3 linked regions of the Macaca fascicularis genome follow. The protein of the gene in region 3 binds, or shares a complex with, the protein of the main gene of each other region. Links are inferred from orthologs where the notes say so. Each region holds a gene or a part of one and is shown on either strand. Other genes may lie near its edges.

Region 1 (7,306 bases), on a different chromosome or scaffold from region 3:
ATTAATTCTAAAAATACTACAGGAGCTGGTTTTGCCAAAGAATGTTTTCAAACATTTAAGGAAGGTAACACAAATTTCGAAGGAACTCTTCTAGGGAGTAGAAAAAGAAGGAATATATTCCACCTTGTTTTACGAAACCAGCATAACCTCAATACCAAATCCCAACAAGGGCACTGAAGGAAAGTAAAATTACAAGTCAATCTTTCTCGTGAATATAAATGCAATAATCCTAAACAAAATATTACCAAATACAATCCAGTAAAAGGAGAATACATCAAGATCAGGTTGGAATTATTCTACAATTGTAAATCTTTTTTAAAAGGGAGGTGCTCTTTCTCAGGAGTTCCTGAGGTTGTTTCCCCAGGCTACAAACAATAAGCAATTAAAAAAAAAAAAAAAAGCAAGGTGCAGTGACGTGCATCTATAATTCCAACTACCTGAGAGGCTGAGTGGGAAGATCACTTTAGCCCAGGAGTTCAAGGCTACAGAGAGCTATGATGGCGCCACTGCACTCGGGGCTGGGTAATGGAGCAAGACCCCACCTCAAAAATAAACAAACAAATAAAAACAGTTAAATTCCCACATAACAGAAAAATCACATGACTGTCTCAAAAGATGCAGAAAATCCATGTTAAGAAATATAACATCTGCTCATGGTATTTAAAAAACTCTTGGCAAACTAAGAAGAGAAGAATTTTTACATCTGGATAAAGAACATCTACAGGGCCAGGTGTGGTGGCTCACAATGGAAATCCCAGCACTTTGGGAGACCAAGGAGAGAGGATTGCTGGAGACCAGGAGTTTGACACTAGTCTGGGCAACCGAGTGAGAACCTTTTTCTTAAATTACCAGATCTCAAGACAGACTATATCTACGGTAATTTAGACATTGTGCTATTTATGCAAAGATGACAAAAAGATCAAAGGAGCAGAAGAGAGTCCAGAAACAGACCCACACACTTACAGTCACTGGACTGAGATGACATAGATGACACTGCATGTAGTACACTGGGGAAAGAATGGTCTTTTTAAGAAATTATGCAGGGTCAACTAGATATCCATTAAAAAAAAAAAAAAAAGAGAGACTCTTGGCCCCATCACATACCATAAACAAAGTCAATTTCAGACAGAAGATTTAAAAATACAGTTTTCAGAAGACAATGTAGAGTATCTTCATGAACTTGACCTAGCAAATTTCTTAAGCAGGACACAAAGAGCATTAAACATTACTGAAAAGATTGATCAACTGGGCTACATTAAAAATTTAAAACTTCTGTGTATCAAAAGATACCACTGAGAAAGTGAAAAGGTAAACACGAGAGTCTAAAAACAATCTGTCATGCACATATGTACTCAGAATATAGAGAAAACTCCTTCAAATCAGTAAGAAACAAAATAGACAACCCAACCAACCGATGGGCAAAAGATAACCGTCTCACAAGACATCCAGATGGTCAGTGAACACAGGAAGAGATGCTTTACCTCTGCATGTTCCTGGCCATCAGGGAGCAGCAAATTCAGACCATACTGAGCCACCTACCAGCTAACAGCCACCAGAACAGCTAAAATTAAAAGACCCAACAAGGCCGGGTGCAGTGGCTCAAGACTGTAATCCCAGCACTTTGGGAGGCCGAGACGAGTGGATCACGAGGTCAGGAGATCGAAATCATCCTGGCTAACACGGTGAAACCCCATCTCTACTAAAAAATACGAAAAACTAGCCGGGCGAGGTGGCGGGCGCCTGTAGTCCCAGCTACTCGGGAGGCTGAGGCAGGAGAATGGCGTAAACCCAGAAGGCGGAGCTTGCAGTGAGCTGAGATTGCACCACTGCACTCCAGCCTGGGGGACAGAGCAAGACTCCGTCTCAAAAAAAAAAAAAAAAAATTGTAGTAATAAAATTCGACCTTCATAAACTTAGTATTTTATAAGATTAAAATGAGAAAAATCTTAATGATTCTCTAATCCAACAAAAAAGGAACATACAGCTCTAATGTCAAATCATTGTTGCTATAAAGGAAACCCACGTTTGGCTCATCAATCTTCCCAGAGAACTGACTACAGCCAAGAAATACATTAAGGCTAGTAATTATTCATTTACTAAGTTATCACTGCAGACCCATCATGTGAGTATAAATGTGTGTTTCTGCGGGTCTACCTGAATGCACCCCAAAGGCACTTAGGATGAGTAACATGGGGCCTAGACAGCTCTGAAACACCTAAGTAACCCACTTCTCTCCCACTATGCTCCGTGACACTCACCTGACACTTTTCTAGTTTTTACACTTTCTCCCTTTACCTACCATTAAGCAAATCCTCATTCAACTCCATGAGCAAAGTCTTTCAAACACTGGTCCAAATGTAATATACTCAGAGAAATAATTTCAGTTGTTCTAAGCTTTAAATTTTTTTTTTTTTTTTTGAGACAGTGGTGCAATCTTGGCTCCTCTGCAACCTCTGCCTCCCTGTCTCAAGTGATTCTTATGCCTCAGCCTCTGAGTAGCTGGGACTACAGGTGTGTGTTACCACGCTCCACTAATTTTTGTATTTTTGGTAGAGACAGGGTTTTGCCATGTTGGCCAGGCTGGTCTCAAACTCCTGACCTCAGGTGATCCGCCTGCCTTAGCCTCCCAAAGTGCTGGGATTACAGGCATGAGCCAACACACCCGGCCTAAGCTTTAAAATTCTCGTCTACCAAGGAAGAAGTTCCTAAGGAATCAATCTCCAGTCTTCTATCCCCTAAAACAAATGTGACTTACAAAACCTAGATGTTCTGATAAAGGTGGGCTATCAAAATAATATTTTTTTCTGTGAAATCCTATTTGTCTACTAAATTATATTAGGAAATTAGAAACACATGAGACACAATCCATGGGAAGCACAAGTTTAGCAAGAGAAGGTTGAAGACAACAGACCACATAGATTGGTTGCTTCAGAGCCCTTTTTCAGAAACTCTGGAGAACTTTCTGAACCTAGGCAGTTCCCAAAGATAGGAATGAAAATAATGAGGTATTTTCACATGACTTTAGAGTACAACAATTTGTTCTCCCTAAGAAGTTTAATCCCTAGGAACTTTGTATTTGACTTAGAAACACCAGAAACCATCATTTCACAAATGGTTATGGAAAATACTCATCTGAAACATTAACAAAAGATGACACCAATTAAAAAAAAAAAACATTTAGTGGAGAATAATCTACAGAGTCTCAAGTTAAAAGCACTCATACCTGTGGAAGTGCCGTGTTGAGCTGTCTCTGCAAGGAATCTCTTTCATGACCAACCTCATGTAACTTCCCCTGGGTTAAGGCCAGCGTTTCTTGAGTCTCTCTCAGTGTGTCAAGAAGGCGGTCCCTTTCTTCCAACATGGAGACCATCAACTGTTCAAAATGTGAATCTGCGTCTGGCTGCGAAGGGGAGCCGGAACCATGGCTTCCACCTCCTCCAGGGGGGCCTTCTGCTTCGCTGATGGTCGGCATCACCTCGCACATCATCTTGAAATGAAAGAGCCAGGCTACAGTCATCAAGTGCAGAATACAGGTTCCCACAAATATGCAACTTTACAGGTATCTGTAGCTAAAAAGAGGGGCAGCCTCATTATCCTCAGATCTGTTACGCTTTGTGTGTAAATAAGCTGGGAAAACATATACCGGGCAAATATTAAGTGCAGAAATACACAACATGAAGACATTAACACAGACCAAAATCCAGGGAAGGGGTCAAGATACCAGAGGACTACCCTCACAAAAAAGGGCAAACCCTGGGGTAGTCTGTTTGCAAAGCTGTACTTGTTTTTGTCGAAAACAAGTGTGCTTCTGTTACCTAATTTTTTTTTTACTTCCCAGTGGGGGGGGGGGGGGGGAAGAAAGTCAAAACACATGTCACCCAATCATTTTTCAGGAAAAGCACAGAAGGAGCATACAGCCAGCAAAACTGACAAGTACAAAATCCATCAGGCATCTTGCAGGAATGTGTGCAGTCAGCTCCTGTGAAGAACTGACGGCTCCCTGAATTCTTGAGCTGGAGCTGGTGAGCACTAAAAGGAACTGGATTCGTTAAACGCTGGCAGAAGTGTTTTTTTTCAATGGCTGCAACGGTTGATCAGTCAACCTAACTTACGTAAGTTTACAACCGAAAAAAAAAAAAAAACTCACAATGGAAATATAGCAGGTCGATATACAGCCGGAGGCGGCTAGGAAAGAGGGAAAAGTGAAAGGTGAGATGATGAGAGGCTATTAAGTGTCTGGGATGTAAAGACAGCGCGAGGGGATGGGGAAGTCGCTTCTGAGTCTTTCGGGCAGTATTCGGGGCGCGATGGACCCCTGAGAGAGGATGGCCCAGGCGGCGCACCTGATGGGGATGACCTCCAGCCTGCTCGAACCGTACTCCTTCCCCTCCTGTATCAGGTGCGGCGGGAGCCCCGGACCCCGGAGGTGAGGACCGTTGACAACGGAGCCCGCTCGGGCCGGGGCTTTCAGCGGCCGCAGTTCCCCGCCCCTCGCCCCAGCGCCCAGGTCACGGGGCGCAGGGCTCGGGGAGGGGCGGCGCGCAGTCCCCGGAGCCATCCCTCGGGGCGCTGGGGTCCCGCCAGAGCTCTCCCAGCGCGACCCGGCGCCGCGGCCTCGCCCCCACCCGCCCCGGAGCGCACCATTCCTCGCGAACACATCCAACCGGCTGCGTGGCCGCCGCGGAGACCGGGACCAGCCGGTGACGCCTGGGCCCCGAGCCTGCCTCAGTGTCCCGCTCCCTTACCTTGCTCACCGGCGGGAGCGGGCGAGGAGGCTCCGCGGCGGCTCGCGGGCGGCTGCTCGCTCCGGGCGAGCTTGGGAGCCGACGAAGGCAGCCCGCGGCCGGCGTCCGCCTGCCCGCCCCACGCCGCGGCCCCGGGGCCCGCCGCCCCAGTCACTAAGGCCGGCCCGCGGCCGGACACTGGCGGAGCGGAGGAGGAGCGGGCCCGGCTGCGCGGCGCCGGCGTCGACGTGCCCGACGTCGAGCGCGTCGGCGCGAGCGTCAGCACCGCCCCGGGGGCGGGGCCCGAGGAGGACCGCGGCCCGAGTGCGCAAGCGCTGTCGCCTCAGGAGGGGGCGGGCGGCTGCTCCGGGGAACTGATTGGCTGAGCGAGACGGGAGCCACGCCCCCAGGCCCCGCCCGGGTCGGTGGGGGGGTCTCCGGGATGAGCCACAGGTGGGCGCTCAGGTGCTCGCCGGGTCAGCGTCTTCCTCCGGGCATCCCTAGTCTCCTCCCACTGCTGCGGGGACGCCGGCGGCCTTTGCCGAGTATGTGCCGCGCCTCGGGTTCTGAGGCGGACGCGTCCCGCACGTCAGGTCCCTCCCGAGCTGGAGGCGCTGGATTCGCACCTTGTGAGGAAGAGCGAGCCGAGGCTTCAGCCACTGCCGCGGGCCCAGACCCCTCCCGCCGCGTCGCTCCCAGGGTCTCCCCGGGCCTGATCGGGGTTCAGCAGGACGCGGTTCCCCCCAGGACCGACTTACGGAGCGCAGCCTGCTGCACCTGGGGACGCTCCGGCGCAGCGTCCAGCGTGCAGGCTTTGCCGCTGTGGCTTTCACTCTGCAGCGTGGGCCCGGGCGATTCGGGAAGCCCGCCTGGGCTTCAGCGCCTCCGATGTAGGATGGGAAAATGATGCAGACCTACCTGCGAGGCTGCTTTAAGATATGAATCAGATGTGAAGAGTGACTAGTTGAGAACCTGACGGGCGGCCCTGCAGAAGTCTTGGTCATTTCATTCTTTCCGCAAGTTTTGTTTTGTTTTGTTTTCCCAGACGTTGTTTCACTCTCGTCGCCCAGGCTGGAGTGCAATGGCGCCATCTCGGCTCACTGCAACCTCTGCCTCCGGGTTCAAGTGAGTCTCCTGCCTCAGCCTCCCGAGTAGCTGGGATTACAGGCGCACGCCACCTAGTCCAGCTAATTTTGTATTTTTAGTAGAGACGGGGTTTCTCCATATTGGTCAGGCTGGTCTTGAACTCCCGACCTCACGTGGTCTGCCCGCCTCGGCTTCCCAAAGTGCTGGGATTACAGGCGTGAGCCACTGCGCCCGGCCTCAGCAAGCATTTTTAAACACCTACTGTGGGCCAAGTCTTGTGCTAGATGTTGTATTTACGGAGATGAATAGAGACACCTCTAATTAATGAAAGAGGGTGCTCTCCCCACTCCTCCCAGGGTTTGACTTGGCGCAAAAACTCTTCACAAACCAGAATGACAGGACACCATCGCCAGTGTCCACTGGCCACCGTTGTTGGTGTGAGGCAGCCAGGAGCCCCTCAGAACTAATAAGTCTGAGAAGAGACTGCACAGGGGAGGGAGAAATGAGCCCGTCCAAGGTGAATTCCTTGATTCTCCATTGTGAGTGCACTAAGAACAAGCACTGCCTCCGACTGACTTTCTCGCCTGTCAGGATCTGGTACACCTTCCATTAATTTATTAGTTCATTCAATAAATATTTATTGACTGACTACACATAAATATGAATTTGTACTTTTTGCCCCTAGTTTCTTGCTATTTTAAAAGTGTAAAAATGGCCAGGTGAGGTCGGGTGTGGTGGCTCACGCCTATAATCCCAGCACTTTGGGAGACCCAGGCGGGGAGATCACTTGAGGTCAGGAGTTCAAAACCAGCCTGGCCAACATGGTGAAACCCCATCCCTACTAAAAATACAAAAATTAGTCAGGTGTGGTGGCGGGCATCTGTAATCCCAGCTACTCGGGAGGCTGAGGTGGAAGAATAGCTTGAACCTGGGAGGTGGAGGTTGCAATGAGCCGAGATCATGCCACTGCACTCCAGCCTGGGAGACAGAGCGAGACTCTGTCTCAAAAAAAAAAAAAAAATTGGCCAGGTGCAGTGGCTCACGTCTGTAATCCCAGCACACTGGGAGTCCAACGTGGGAGGATTGCTTGAGCCTGGGCAATATATCGAGACCTGCGTCTATACAAAAAATTAAAAATTAGTCCAGCGAGGTGGGCCACGCCTGTAGTCCCAGCTACTTGGGGGGCTGAGGTGGGAGGATTGCTTGAGTCTGAGAGGTCGAGGCTGCACTGAGCTGTGATTGTGCCACTGCACTCCAGCCTGGGTGCCAAAGCGAGACTCTGTCTCAAAAATAAAAAATAAAATTGTAAAGATGATCACTTAGATGAGGTGTTCTGCAAGTACCCTGTACCTTTCCACATGCCAGCAATTCTGCACCACTCCCAAGTTCCCCTGAACCACTGTCCAAAACCAGCAAATTTCCAGCTCTCCTTAGGGGTACCTGCTTAATGCAGCCAGCTTATGTTTGCACCATGCTCATAAAGTGTCTGTTTTTTT
Region 2 (7,480 bases), on a different chromosome or scaffold from region 3:
CCTCTATCCCATTTCCTGACTTGGGTTTACTAGAGGTACTATTGTGGCTTCTTTCTTTCTCCATCTCCTGGAAATGCTTTTTCCTTCAGGGGCCTGGGATATGGATTTTGACTCACAATGAAGTCCACTCCCATTTCCTCCAGACCTGGCAACAGTAGGATCCTCACTGCTAAGGAGGAACTTCGGTGAAAGAAAGGGGAAACTTGACTCAGGAGTCTCAGCGCTGACTTTTTTTTTTTTTTTCCTTCCTGCTCCAGAAGAGAGCCTTAAAGCACTGATGAGAGGGTCCTGAATCAGTGTATGGAGTCAATTTCCCCGCCCCTTCGAGAAAGTCAATCACACCCAGTTAGTGACCAGGGCACACAAAATCTCCACACAGGAAAAAGACAGCGTTTGAAACAGGAAATAAACAAAAATCAGAATTCTGTTCTTTCACTTCTTAAAGTATCTTTTCACTTCTTAAAGTATCTTTTTCCTCCCGACAGGCAATTGCTTTCCCAAAATACCAAACTTGGACTTTGAAATCAAGTTCTCTTTCTATTGCTCTCCGCAGTTCTCACTGAAAGAAAGGATTTGTTTTGGTCCCACATGTTGAAAAATTCACGACTCTATAATTAAGAGTTTATATGCCACGCCTTCTACCGCATTTCCCTGTTAAAACTCCCTTCTCTAAAAGAGATCCCTGAAAACACAACTACCAGCCCACCTTTAAAGCAGCCACAGGAAACAGATCTGAAGATTCTCAGCAGCCATCCTAACCCCTCCAAATACAAAGTTGGCAGCTGAAGGGATTTCTCGGTTAAAATGAGCGAATACTAGTTGCAGTTTTAGAAGTGTGCCCCCAAGAGACGAGTTTTCCCACAAGCTCATAATTAATACACACCCCAAGTGAATTTCTCACGTCCTGACTGGATTACACAAAAGGATATTTTACATTGATATATAAGAATAACACTGATATTCTTTTAATATATAATAGGCCACAAGGAGACAAAAAAAATACAAAACTTTTTTTCTTTTCAACGAGCATAATTTTTGAGTCGATGATTCATAATTTTTTTGCGGCATTTTAAAATCCCCCAATGTAGAGAGACACACACCCCTCTGGTTGGGGTTCTCAGGTATTACTGGGAACCTAGGGTGTGGGGGTCTAAGGATACAGACAAGACCTAAACGTCCAATCCTGGAGTATTCTTCACGTACAAGCTCGGTCGGAGCCCCAGGAGTTAAGCCCTACCCTCCACCCTTACCACCCCCCAAAAGTGCCCGTTCCCATTGGGAAACAGGAGTGAGTTGCACAAGGAAATCGACCCAGGGAAGAGGAGGAGCAGCTGCAACAGCCAGCTGCAGCCACACGGTGCCACTTCCCTCCCGTCTCGTAGTGGAGCAAAACGCCCTTACCTGGGGGGTGGAGAGCCGCCGGCACTAGTTCCAAAAGTTCTCGTCCACCTCCTCTTGGAGCTCAAAGCCCCAGCACTCCGGCCCGTCCGCCGGCTCGCAGCACACGAGTCCTTCCCCGTCCCTTCCCCACCCTGCCTGCACTACACCATGTCAGGAATCCGGGCAGGCACCGAGCTGGGAGCTGACATCACTCCCAGTTCAGGTACTTCCCCCTCCCACTGCCGCCCTTCTCTCCTCCCTCCCTGCAGGAATCAGCCAAAGAGAGTCAGCAGTGGGGCGGAGCCGGAGGCGCCTGCGCGCCCGCTGATTGGAGCCGGGGAACGTCACTCAGAGGAGTCCACTAATTTTATACATTCCTCGCTGAGCCAGACTAGGGCTGAAAGTGGGTGGATGGAAGAAAATGCTGCCCTTCCTGCTATCTCTAAGGAACGGAGATAATGCGATGGGGAAGAACCTGGCGGGTCGAGTTTTAGACTTTTCTTGTTGTAGTTACTGAGATTGCAGATCAGAAACGAAACTAACCCACGCGAACCCCCTTTTTAAGGAGAAACAATTGCCTCAGTGTCACGGGCACACGGGCATGTACGAGCCCGGCGGCGCGTGGTGTAGAAAATGGCTAGCTTTAAGCCATGCAAATAAAGGAAAACGTCAGCTCACCCTTCTGCCCTTTTATCCTGGGACTGCTGGGTGTTCCCTTAGACGGGGAATGTAGAGCTTCAAAAGCACTTCAGAAAGATTTGGAAGCGACTCCTGAAAACGGTGACCGAGCTTTGAATTGCTAAGTGGTGTTATCAGCCACATGGCTGCTTTTGCTTTTAGCGATGAAAATCACACCACACAAGCTTCTCGGGCAAGTAAAATTGAATCTCTGAAGCAAGAAAAATTTATTTACTCGTTTAAAGACCTTAAGGCTGCTGTTTTAATGCACACACTGAAAAGGGTGGAGGAAGGAGGGACCTCACAATTGAGTTCCACAAACCACATGAGAATAATTACTGTTGAATGGAACCAATTGTAGTGGCTGAGCTATCAATTAAGAATTAACTAACGTTTATCCTTGACAGATATCATGCGGTATAATCCCCTTGGCTGACAGAAGAGAAAGATTCTCAGAAGATGGTTCTTTCAAGGCAGATGCTACTTAGAGGCAGGACTGAATGGTGAAAAGCAGCTTTATTTGTGTGAGATATAGGTAGCATATAACCCACCATCTTCTAGAAATATAGTGAATTAATAACTTTCTTTTTTTCTCTTTTTTTTTTTAAAAAACAGCTCACTCTGTCACCCAGGCTGGAGTGCAGTGGCACGATCTGGCTTACAGCAACCTTCTCCTCCCGGGTTCAAGTGATTCTCCTGCCTCATCCTCCGAGTAGCTGGGACTACAGGCGCCCACCACCACACCCGGCTAATTTTTGTATTTTTAGTTGAGAGGGGTTTCTGCCATGCTGGCCAGGCTGGTCTCGAAATCCTGACCTCGAGTGATCCACCTGCCTCTGCCTCACAAACTGCTGGGATTACAGGTGTGAGCCACCGCGCCAGGCTTCATTGTTTTTTGATTGATGACATGCCTTACATTTCACCGATCTGCCAAAAATTGTAGAGGGATGCACAGAATCCAGCATTGTGTCTTGTTTAATCTTCCCAATCATCCTGTAAATTGAGTGTTATTAGCCCTATTTTAACATAAGGAATCAAAGGCTCAGCAAAGTTATGTAAGTAAATTTCTCCAGATCACCCGGAACTTGGATTGAAACCAAGGTCTATTTGACTCCAAAGCCATAGTTTTTCTTTCCATATCTCAAGTATTGAGTGTCCATAATATATATTTTTTCAAACAATAGAATGCTACAAGAAATCCACAGGCTTGGGCCACTGCCCTCACAGACCTACTTTGTATCATTACCCCCTTGTTGCTTGTCAGGCCTGCACTATCCCAAACTCTTGACTTGAATTTCTGACTCCAGTTTCCCCCAATTCTAATTCTTTCTCTGTACCACTACCAGATGAGTTTTCTAAAATGTTTGGTTTTGTCATCAACCTCTTCCCCTCTAAATCAGGTCCCCCTTTCCCGGCAATTCTTTTCTAGCCATTTAAAACTCTCCCTTATCTGGCTTCTACTTCCCTTTCCCAGCTTATCTCCTACTTCGCTCCCAGGAAACCCTCTCTGTAGTCAAAACAGGTCTACTCACAGATCCCTGCTTCATTCTCACCTTTCGGCCTAACCGGAATCCCCACTCATCTGTGTGTTAAGTCCCACCCTTCTCTCAAAGCCTAATTAAAGTCCTTGTCCTGTGCCAAGACTTAGCTGTGTGTTACAGCGGACAGAAAAAAGGACTCAAGGTTCTTGGCCTGGCTCTGCCACTTACCTATTGGGTAACTTTGGGCAAGTCACTAAAACATCCATCCCTAATCTCAGTTACCTCCTCTTTAAAATAGGGCTGACAATACCTACGTTAAAGGTTGTTATAAGGATTGAGATTGTAGAGATGTGTAAACATGTGGTTATACATGTCCAGTTAAATGCCTTTCCTGCCTTCCCAAACTCTGAAGAGCAAGCATATTGCTTATAGGACCTCTTTATATTCCTTGTACCCAATTCAAGGAAAAGGCTCGATAAAAATACAGGGCGTGAGAAAATGGATCATTGTATCATTTCTATTCTCTTCCATTCTTTAAATGCACTGTATCCCCAAATAATATCTCAGACAAAAACTAACTGTTTCTTCTTGTTCTTTTTTTTTCCTCTCTCTCTCTTTCTATCTTTTTATGCTTTGGCCAGAGCCCTTCCGTTCTCCCACACCCCTACCCACCATTTGTTCAACACCCTTAACTCCCTCAGATTACTTCTGGACCAACTACTTCACCTTTCTCTTAGCTACTCACCCTTCCCTGTCCCACAGTCAGGGACACAACTTGTCCATCAGTGTCTGTTGCCTGTCTTGCTCCCAGATGCCTTCAAACAGAGGCTGGGTGGCTACCAGCCATTCCTACAGCCCTAGTCAGGACGGCTGCATCCAGGCTCACATTCTTCCAAAACTACAGGCAGCCGCAGGAGATGGGGGAGGGAATGTCCCACCCCCACAGAGATGGCAGGATAGAAAAACAGGAAGTCGCCTCCCATCCTCTCTGCAGCTGGAGTGATAACAGCTGCCATCCAGAATCCAGAAAACAAAAGACTCAAAGGGAAGGCTGAAAACAGGCCAGGTTTGGAGCAGTAATGTTCAAGCTAGAGGTTACAGGGTGGGTGACGAAGGAACCAATGGTTGAGATTTCAGCCTCTTTCCCGCCCCCCGCCCCCGCCTCTTTAACCAGAGTTACAGCTCTTTTATCTGCTCTACATTTAGGCTTCACCATGATACTTCATTTTTTGAAGACAGTGTAACCCTTAAATAAACATACTGAAATCACTGGCCTCTGGGTATCTTGGGGAAACTCCAAAAAAATCAGGATAGTGCAGCAGAAGCAACACAGGATGCCTGATGAGAAGGTAACCAGAACTTACTCACTATCCCGGCTCCTAGCTGGCTTAGTGCAAATGATTATTTATGATTCCTATGGTTTCAATGCTAATTTACTCTGTAGGTCTAGATATTTTCTGCCTAGTTATTCCTATGACCAGCCTCACCTTTGGTAACTTTTTGCCAAAGAGAACCACTATTGGGGGCTAGGGAGCAAGAGACACCGCGGAGCAGGAGTAAACTACTCAATTAGAACTTGAAATGGATCCTAAAAGTCATTTGATGCAACCACTATTAAAATGCAAGAAACCCTTCATCAACATTCCTTACAGGTAGCTTCCAGCCCCTGCTTGAACTCATCTGGCAACCAGTAACACACACAAAGAAGCAAGCAGCCCACCATTAAAGATCTTTCTCATCTCCATCTAGATCCTGCTTTACTGACTTTCTCCCCAAAGACATCTGTCTTGTGTCTCATTTAATCGTCACAAACATCCTGTAAGTGTTACTAGCATCATTTTGACATGAGGAATCAAAGACTCTCCAGGGTTATACAAGTAAATTGCTCCAGATTGCCCAGAACTGGGATTGAAACCAAGGTCTAGGGGCCGAGCGCGATGGCTCATGCCTGTAATTTCAGCACTTTGGGAGGCCGAGGTGGGCGGATCACGAGGTCAGGAGATTGAGACCATCCTGGCCAACACGGTGAAACCCCATCTCTACTAAAAATACAAAAATTAGCTGGGTGTGGTGGTGGACACCTGTAATTCCAGCTACTCGGGAGGCTGAGCCAGGACAATGGCTTGAACCCGGGAGGCGGAGGTTGCAGTGAGCCAAGATCGCGCCACTGCACTCCAGCCAGGTGACAGAGCAAGACTCCGTCTCAAAAAAAAAGAAAAGAAAAGAAAAAGAAAAGAAACCAAGGTCTATTTGACTCCAAACCTATTTTGTCTTTCTATTTCTAAAGCATTGATTGTCCACAATTTACACTGTCGTTTCTGCCCTTTGCAGTAACAGAACAAGCTGACTCTCTCTGTCACCCCATCCCCAAACCTGAGCAGGCATGAGGACATCTCCCCTACTTTGGATACGGATGCCATAAGAGGCTCACCCTACTCATCAAGTCCACATCATTTGCCTGTCTGGGCTTTATAGGCTTCCAGGTGCAGCTCTCTAAAGCACAACCCTGATCACTCCTGACTCTAAAAACTTAAATGACTCTCCCTTTACCAAGGAACAAAACTCATCAGGCTTTCTTGACTAGTGTCCAAAAGCCTTCACATCCTTGCCCCCAACTTACCTTTCTGAACTTATTTTCCACTCTTCTTCATATCCCCACAGTGCATGAACTGCATGACTTTGCACCCATATTCCCTAATAATATGTCCTCACTGTGATTTTTGCCCGTTTCTACAAAAATCTACCTCACAGTGTGGTTGCAAGGATCTGACAAGATGTCATATGCAAGATGACAGAGCACCTTGCCTGACACATCATAGGTCATAAGCAAACATATTTTCCTCTTTCCTATGACATAAAACAATCGTACTGTTATTTTTATAGGTGCCTTATGTTCCTTTCTGGCTGCAAGTTTCTTACAGCCCTCAAGAACAGAATGCTAATTTATTTCATCTTTACATCCTTTATAGGATCTAGAACCATGTTTTGTCCCACAGATATTGATTAAAGATTCACCAAATGAATGAATGAATGAATGCTGTCTTTTGCTCATAACCTGCTATGGTCTAGGTCTTCAGAAGTTCAGGAATAACTTGACCAGACTGATCACAAAGGATCCGGGTGCCTCCAGTTGTTGTTATCCCAGTTACACTGCCAAACGCAGAGTGGGTTAAACACATGGTATAAATCATGAACCCAAATCCAAATGAAACAAGCTTAGCTTTAGAATTCCTTCTAAAGGAAATTACTGCTTATTCTGTCTGATCCTAAGCATGGCATTGGTGATAATCCAGACATTATTTTAATATCCTTTCATTGAATGCTAAGCCACTACCTAGCTCTCATCATTGACATCATTTCTGAATCTAGCCCTCCTCCCCATTCTCTTCTTGCTCACAGAGACAGGTTAGAAACAGGCACAATATCTTGCTCCAAGTGGGGAGTCTTATTTTAATCACTTCTTCCTTGCAACCCAGTTGTGCTGGTTATTCTCTGGTTACCCACCAGATACGTCTAAACATCTAGTCACATTCAACTTACTCATTTTATTAGCCTATTTATCAGTTGAAAAAAATTTAATTAAAAATAAGGATAATTGGTTTTCATGGTCTTTGATTAATGTTCAACGAATGACTAAATTAAACAAATTAAATTCCCTTAAACAATTAACCTCATTACAAACTTCGTTAATTGAATCTCCTAAAAAGTATGTCTGGTTTCTGTATTCTGAGAGAGGTCAACAAGATAGGGAGCCAGCCTGTTCAATACACAGGAGCTTTCTGTTTTCATTGAATGCAGGTGATCTGCATAGTGTCTGCCCCAAGCAGCTCAAGCCTTTCTATAGCTGTCAAACCTTTGGGTGGGAGAGCACGGCCATCCTTTCTATCAACATGCACTGTGGATAGGCCTCTTCAAAGTCTTAGGAACATGCCCAGTAACAA
Region 3 (7,611 bases):
ACCATTTGTAGGACTTAGGAATCCAGGGAACTGCATGAATATTTAATTTAAAAAAGAAAAAAAAATTTGGAGTCCCAAGACCTAAGGGACTTAGCTGAGTGAGACTGAGAAGGGCATTCACCTGTATAAGTCTCAGGTTCCTTATCTGAAAGGATATCATCTGAAAACAGTACTCATCTTACAGGGCTGAGGTGAAGATTAAATACAACTATTGACATACTGGACAGTTTTGAAAAATGTAGCTGATTTCAAAGACTGAAATTTCACTGCAGAAATAAAATTTTTAAAAAGTTGGGTATAATAAATGACAAATTTGTCTTGTACATTGCATTAAAGTCAATCAATCAAACAAACAAAACAATGTTTATAAACTAGGAGATAAGAACAATTTTCTCTCTCAGCTTCAGAAAGGAATCAAAGCACTGACTCTTGGGCAATTGCTGTTGTGTGTGTGTATATGTGCATGTATGTTTTGTGGTTCCTTTTCTAGAGAAAGGAAAACCACTGTCATATTGAGTTTTATGCTTATACTCAAGTACATCAAGAACATCTGGTGTGGGTGGAAAGGGGGAATAAATATGTACTCTAAGGATCCGATCAAATAATTTAAAAAGAACTTTTTTTACTCTTTTACATGTAGAACGTGAACAGTGTAGACACTGTTGGGTGAGTATGTTTCCCAGAACAGAATGCTGAAGAACATGGGATTTGGAGTCAGACCTCAACTCAAATTTTACCTCATCTTACTAGCTCTGTGACTTGGGCAAGTTGCATAGGTTTGTTATGAAAATTAAATGAAAAAAAGTGTAGATAAGAAGGCAGCAGTTCATAGTAAGTAGTTGATACAGGTGAAATGTTGTGATGAGTCTTTGTGTTTTAGCTTCAACTTTCTTTCTCCTAGTGTTTTAGTTAATGAAAATGATGGCATGTAAATACAGTTCATGCGAGGTCAGTTGATTAGTAAAGGGTACTAGTAGACATGGTGATGCAATCCCTATTTGTAATGCCTTTGCTATCACACACTTGAGATACGTGTGAGGCAAGTCATTAGAAACCCTTTGTTCAAAGACATTTAGTCGACCTCATTTCATGATGGCATTTCTTTATCTTGATCTTGTAAATGCTCAGGAATTGTGGCTGCTTTGGAATTTATGACAGACAGCCAATGGAATCTTTAGGACATATCTGAACAAAAGTGAAAATAGGGGTGGGGGGTGGATTAAGGCTTCTACTGTACATTACTCATTCACTGCTCAAATGACACCAACAAGCCATTTAGACTCCAAGCCGACATGGGTATCTTTGGATTGCAGATGGTGAGAGCCTTGATAGGAGGGACTATTGATTGTTTCTCTGGCTTTAAGCCTCTTTGTGCCCAAGTCTCTTAGATTTAGATGAGTGGATATTTGCTGAGATGAGATAGTAAGTAAATTCTTGAGGTCCTTGGGAAAGACTGAGATAGGGTCATTTCTTCTCTGGAAATAGTTCAGATGTTGTACTTTAGTTGGGGCTCATGGATTTGAGTCTACAGTATAAAAAGGGGCAAAGACCTAGCCTGAGGATTAGCTGGGTTATTTAGAAAATATACAGAACAGAGAAGACTCCAGTGACTGCCACAACTAAAAACACTTCCTTTTGCTCTTGCCTGTTCTATCCTTTTCGGAAGTCCAGTACTGGCCTTTCGGTTACAGTGGCTCAGGCATGGCACATCCAAGAGCCAGTGGAGAACTTCTGACTGTATTGGTCAGCCTTGCTTACCTCAGTGACCCTTCAATTTACGCTTATCCATATGGTCATCTCCATGACCTTATGGGAAAAGCACTGGGTTGGGAACAAGGTAGAACTGAGTAGAATCCAGGCTCAGACTAATTGCATGATTTTGGACAAATTAATTAACTTCCATATTCTAACTACCTAACATTTAAAAACAATGACAATGCCTATCCTAATCTAGTTAATCTGAAGAGTAGTCTTCCTCTACTTACTATCCAATATTCAGGAAATGGAAAGAAAAAGCTGGATATACCCTTAGGGGCTTCCACTGTGTTTTAGGCCCTGAGGCAGAAGCTACAAAAAAAGGACAGATCAGACCTGTGTGTCTGTCCCTAAGGCAGCCTTCGGTAATGTGGGGAAATATGGCCAATGCATAATTAAAAAAAAAAATTTTTTTTTTGTAGAGACAGAGTCTCACTTTATTGCTCAGGCTGATCTTGAACTCCTGGCTTCAAGCAATCCTCTGCCTCACCTTCCAAAGTGCTGGGATTACAGGCATGGGTCACCATGCCCAACCTAGCCAATCATTTGATCACCCCAAGATCCTTTTCCCTCGTCAAAACCACCTCCATCACTTGTATTATCTATAAACATCCTCTGGATGCCAGCCAGATTCACACTTAACATTTTGCAGTGCTTAATATCTTCACAGAAATGTATCAGTTTTCCATAATTCTCCACAACATTCTTGGGAGGTAGCACAGACTTACCCAAAATCACACATGGGTTTGTGTCTACAATGGCCTCCACTCTTGCATCTAGTTAACTGCCTCAGACACTAAATATTCAGCCACAAACCTTACCTGAGGTGAGTCACTTCGGTTCCACAACTGATTGACAAAAATAATGTCAAACATTACCTTGTCCTAGGTGACCCAACTGCTTCCCTAAAGGGAGTTCAGAAAAATAGGGCCTCAGCATTACCAGGCTTCTAACTAATGACTATAGGAGCCAGGAACCACTGCACAGGCCTGAAAGTTGTATGTGGTGACAATATAACAACATTTCTGCAATTAGAGGAGTTATATTCAGACTTAAGGAAGAGTGAATCATACTTGATAAAAATAACATATTTCTAGAATGTATAGACTTGAAGGGGAAAATTTCTATGTTTTCTTTGGTGATTACTTTATAACTTTATTCTTCCTCAAGAATCACTCAATAACTTGTTTCATAGTTATCATCTCCTTCTTCCCCATAGACCTCCAGTGATGAGGGAAGCTCCCTCCACAGCCACAAGCTCTGTACCTAAAGTGGCATTGGTATCAGGTTTGCGTATTAGTTTTGCTCATGCTTGTTTATCATTGAGCTGGGAAGGGAAGGCCTTGGGATATTTACTATTCTAGGAAGGAGAAAAACTTACTTCTGGTGAGAAGAGAATCTGGACTATAGCTTCAGAGAAGCATTTCTTCTATGTTTCCCATGTCTTTTCTACAGAGGGACTCAGGCCAGCAAAGGCTTTGGTGGTCCTCCACTCAGGGTAAGAAGCAGCCTAGTCCCAGTAAATGATTGACCTGGCTGCCGATGTGATAAGCTTAGGTAAATAGGCTTGATTCTGCTCCAGTAATTTCAGAACTTTTAACTCTCTAGGTTCCAAAGCAGAAAAATACACATGACTTCCTGAAAGAGTCTGTCATATGAGATTGACAGCCCTGTGAGTGGACCGTATATTTCTCAGAATATATTATTCTATACCATGTACTACAATATACTTACACTGTCCTCTCTGGTATGTCTTGAAAATTGAAAAAAATTATGCAAGGAAAATTCTGGAACAAAACCATGCTTGTGGAGCTACCACCAATGAAATCATTTTAACAAATCACACATATAATTTGTTATAATGAAAAATTTTTTTAAAACCTTCCAAGTTTCTGAAATACGTACAGGGGCAACAACAATTTTCAGAAGAGATAGAAGACAGAAGGAAAATACAGCCTGCTTTCCAGAATAGGCTGATGGAAAAATGACTGAATTCAGACACATACCCAGGTCTACCATATCTCCTTCAGCAGACCATCCTCAGAGACACTCTGGTGACAAGGCTGTGTACGGTGCTCATTTTGTGATCATGAGAGAAGGGCCAATGACCCAAGAGATCACCTACCTTGTCTGCTGCTTTTCAATCCTGACTCTTCCCTCAGCTTCTTTCCTGACTCAGCAGAGATGACCCACGGCTCTTCCAACCATTGCTGAAGAGAGTGGAACATTGGGAAGACACATTAACACAGGTTTCTCCTTTTCCCCAAGCATGAAGGTGAGGTGTTCCTTTCCACTTCCTTTCCTGCTCTCTCTGGCCTCTGCAGACAGTGGTCACAGGCAGCAACTTGCTTGCAGCCAGGTATGTTGACAGATGTGAAGGAGGGAGTCTGCCCTGGCCTCAGCCACCTGGTCTAGCCAATCATTACACACCAGGACAGACTCCTAATCCTGTTTAAATTCAACCAGAGCTGCACAGCAAAATCAGATGGCAGGACTGTAGGGGGCAGAAAGCACAGTCTGATAGCCATTGGCTATCCAGAAAAGTGATTCCCTTGTAACTGCATCTGGGAAGTGGACAAGAGGCCCTGAGAATAGTTTATAGAGGAAACGAAATTTTTATTCCTTTAGATTTTAGCCATCTCAGAGGAGATCTGCAGGTCACTTTATCAAATGTCCCATGTAATAATGGAGTTTCTTCTATTAAATTCTTGTATGGTGAGAAGCATCTGGCAGTTTTTCAAATAAATATGGCTACCATTCATTGAGAGAATGTTATATGTTATGCATTTCATGAATATTACCACAAATCCTCATGGTAATGTTGAGATTTTATTTCTTTTTTATGCATGAGGGAACAAAGGCTCAAAGGGGTAATGGTCCTGCAACTAGTAGGTGCTGAAGCCAAGAATTGAATCCAGATCTGCTCTAAGACCTGCACCAGCATCAGTAAACCTTTCCATACATTCTGTGGTAGGTTGAGTTATAGCCCCCCAAAAATGTCCACATCCTAATCTTCAGAATCTACGAGTATGTTATCTTACATGGTAAAGGGGACTTTGCAGACGTGGTCAAGTTAAGGATCTTCAGATGGGAGATTATCCTGGCTTATCCAGGTGGGCCCAGTGTAATCACAGGGGTCTTTATGAAAGGTCAGAATAAGACAAAGAGATGTGATGGCCTGTAATCCCAGCACTTTGGGAGGCCAAGGCGGGCGGATCATGAGGTCAGAAGATCGAGACCATCCTGGCCTACACGGTGAAACCCCGTCTATACTAAAAATACAAAAAATTAGCTGGACGTGGTGACAGGCACCTGTAGTCCCAGGTACTCGGGAGGCTGTGGCAGGAGAATGGTGTGAACCCAAGAGGTGGAGCTTACAGTAAGCGGAGATCACCCCACTGCACTCCAGCCTGGACAACAGAGCGAGACTCCGTCTCAAAAAAAAAAAAAAAAAGAAAGATGTGATGACAGAAGCAGGGTGAGCGATTGCTATGCTGCTGGCTTTGGAGGAAGGGGCCATGAACTAAGGAATGCAGGCCGCTTCTGGAAGCTGAAAAGGCAAGGAACTGGATTCTACTCTAGGGCCTCCAGAAGGAGCATGGCCACACTGACCATTTTAAACTACTGTTGTAAGTACTGAGTTTGTGGTAAATTTGTATAGGGACTATAGAACATGAATACACATTCCCTCAGAAATACTCTTTATGATGGTGAGATCACTGTCTCACTTAGCTTCCTATTCTACAAAGGAATACTCTTTATCAAGCTAAGCTCGACCTTCTTTTTTTTTTTTTTTTTTTTCATGATACTTTAGGTTCTAGGGTACATGTGGATAACGTACAGGTTTGTTACATATGTATACTTGTGCCATGTTGGCATGCTGCACCCATCAACTCGTCAGCACCCATCAACTCGTCATTTACATCAGGTATAACTCCCAGTGCAATCCCTCCCCCCTCCCCCCTCCCCGTGATAAGCCCCGGTGTGTGATGTTCCCCTTCCCGAGTCCAAGTGATCTCACTGAACAATGAGATCGCTCGATCTTCTTAAAATGGTCATTCATTGGTCCTAGCTCTTCCCTGCACATAAGGCACTCGGGGAGGCAGCTGGAAATGGTGGCAAACAGCACTGGGAAGGGAATCAGAATCTGGATTCTAGTCCCACCTTTGCCTTAGCCAGTCGGTTCTCTCTGGCTTTCAGTTTTCTCTCCTATAACATTAATGCCTTGTACAAATGTTCTTTGATCCCTTCTATATCTAAAGCCGTAATATTCTAAATTCAAGTCATGCAACAATTTAAAAATACTTGAAGATATCCCTGTCACCTTGCTCCAAATGTTTCCTGTTCCAACTACCCCAGTTTTCCATGTGACATGACTTCTGGACCCCTCCCTCTCCAAGTTGCTCTTCTCTAAGGCGGCTCCAATTTACCCATTTCCCTCTGAAATGTGGTGCCCAAGTCTTCACATAGTGCCCCTGCCATTTCTTGTCTCCTAGTGTGCCTGGTTCTGCTGGCTCCTCTGACCACACTCTCTTGCTGGGTCTCATCTAACTATTCCTTAGGATCCCTTGAACTTGGGCTAGTCTATTTCTTTTCATGTTGTTTGATCTGAACTTACCTCTCGAAACAGAGCACCTACAGTGAGCAATTCTACAAGAATCTTAGATTTTTTTTTTTATAGGAAGGACCAAGACTTGCCAGTGCTAGCCTCAATTAGTCAGCTTTGCTTGCTTAATAACATTTAAATGATAATGCATTCTTATAGGCATTTGAAAGGCAGTGGTTTATCACATTTTAAGATGATAAATTCCTTGAGAATTTGATGCAAGTTATCGGTCCTCTACCAGAAAAAAGTGCACATACATCTAAAATTGTATGTGTCAGTTTGGGGCATTTCAGCCCCCCTGAAGTAGTCCACTGCCCCTCTGATGTTCACACAGGTAAGTTAGTTCTACACTCACAAGTTTTGGTGGGGGAAGTTTTTGCAAAAGGCAGCTTAATGTTTTCTTCCAGATCTCCTTACACTTCATGGAGGTCCTAGAAACACCTTCTGGAACTGGATTGTGCAAATGCCCAGTGAGGATCAAGGTAGGAAAGTCTCCAGGCTAAAAAGCAGCTCAGTCCTCAGGTTAAACAAAAACCAGCATTCAGTGGCCTCCTTTTACAAGAACATTGCTTCTTATGGCCTTTCTCTACAGGATAAATCCTATTCTTTAGATGCTTAGTTCCTTAGATTAAAGCCATCTGCCTGCCTAAGGCTTCTCTCAATTGCAAGATGCTACTGGACAGAGGCTGACACTGTTGTGGCCTCCTCCCCACCCATGCTGTCCAAAAACACTGCCCAGCTGTGAAAACACCCTGGTCTGACTAGTGCTTTAGTCTCACTGGCACTTATCCAGGCCATCCCGGGTGAGGTTTGAGGCACATGGGCTTTGGCCACTGTCCCTCCCTTGCAACCTCCCACCCTCTCTGAGAATGAAAGGTTTCAAATCTTAAAAATAATAACACTCCTTTGGTCATACCGAGTAGATTTGCAGAGGGATAAACACGATCACGTCTTGCTGATCGGGAAGAATTCCTCAGGAAAAAAAACACAACAAAAATCCAGGACATTCAGGCAACCTGACCTCAGGGATTAACAGAGAAGGAATCAGTTTCAAAGTTGAAGAAATGGAGTTTGCTCTGCGTTTCTTGTTTGTCAAGCTCAGCCATAGATGGGACTCAGTGACTCCATGACCTTTCTTTCCCTAGTTTAAACTGCTCTACAGGACAACACAGAGATAGATTATCTGAGCATGGACTTCCACAGGAAACATAAAAGAAGTTCCTTTATGAAAAACAACAGATAATTTTCTA

Evidence for each region. Proteins that work in one complex are often made in the same cells at the same time.
Region 1: PHLDB2 (region 3) and PPFIA1 share a complex: the UniProt entries of both Homo sapiens proteins name them as parts of the cortical microtubule stabilization complex. The link is inferred for Macaca fascicularis from reciprocal best matches to the Homo sapiens genes PHLDB2 and PPFIA1.
Region 2: PHLDB2 (region 3) and liprin-beta-1 share a complex: the UniProt entries of both Homo sapiens proteins name them as parts of the cortical microtubule stabilization complex. The link is inferred for Macaca fascicularis from reciprocal best matches to the Homo sapiens genes PHLDB2 and PPFIBP1.

What each region holds. Positions count from the first base shown.
Region 1 is NC_088388.1:4,396,783-4,404,088, forward strand, and holds the start of PPFIA1 (liprin-alpha-1), read right to left. Parts: upstream 4,442-7,306; 5' UTR 4,344-4,441; intron 3,488-4,343; coding exon 3,224-3,487; intron 1-3,223. UniProt on the Homo sapiens protein: May regulate the disassembly of focal adhesions. May localize receptor-like tyrosine phosphatases type 2A at specific sites on the plasma membrane, possibly regulating their interaction with the extracellular environment and their association with substrates.
Region 2 is NC_088385.1:30,260,831-30,268,310, reverse strand, and holds the start of liprin-beta-1, read right to left. Parts: upstream 4,442-7,480; 5' UTR 4,285-4,441; intron 1,562-4,284; exon of another isoform or gene 1,402-1,561; intron 1-1,401. UniProt on the Homo sapiens protein: May regulate the disassembly of focal adhesions. Did not bind receptor-like tyrosine phosphatases type 2A.
Region 3 is NC_088376.1:171,346,056-171,353,666, forward strand, and holds the start of PHLDB2 (pleckstrin homology-like domain family B member 2), read right to left. Parts: upstream 4,091-7,611; 5' UTR 3,984-4,090; coding exon of another isoform or gene 3,881-3,983; intron 1-3,880. UniProt on the Homo sapiens protein: Seems to be involved in the assembly of the postsynaptic apparatus. May play a role in acetyl-choline receptor (AChR) aggregation in the postsynaptic membrane.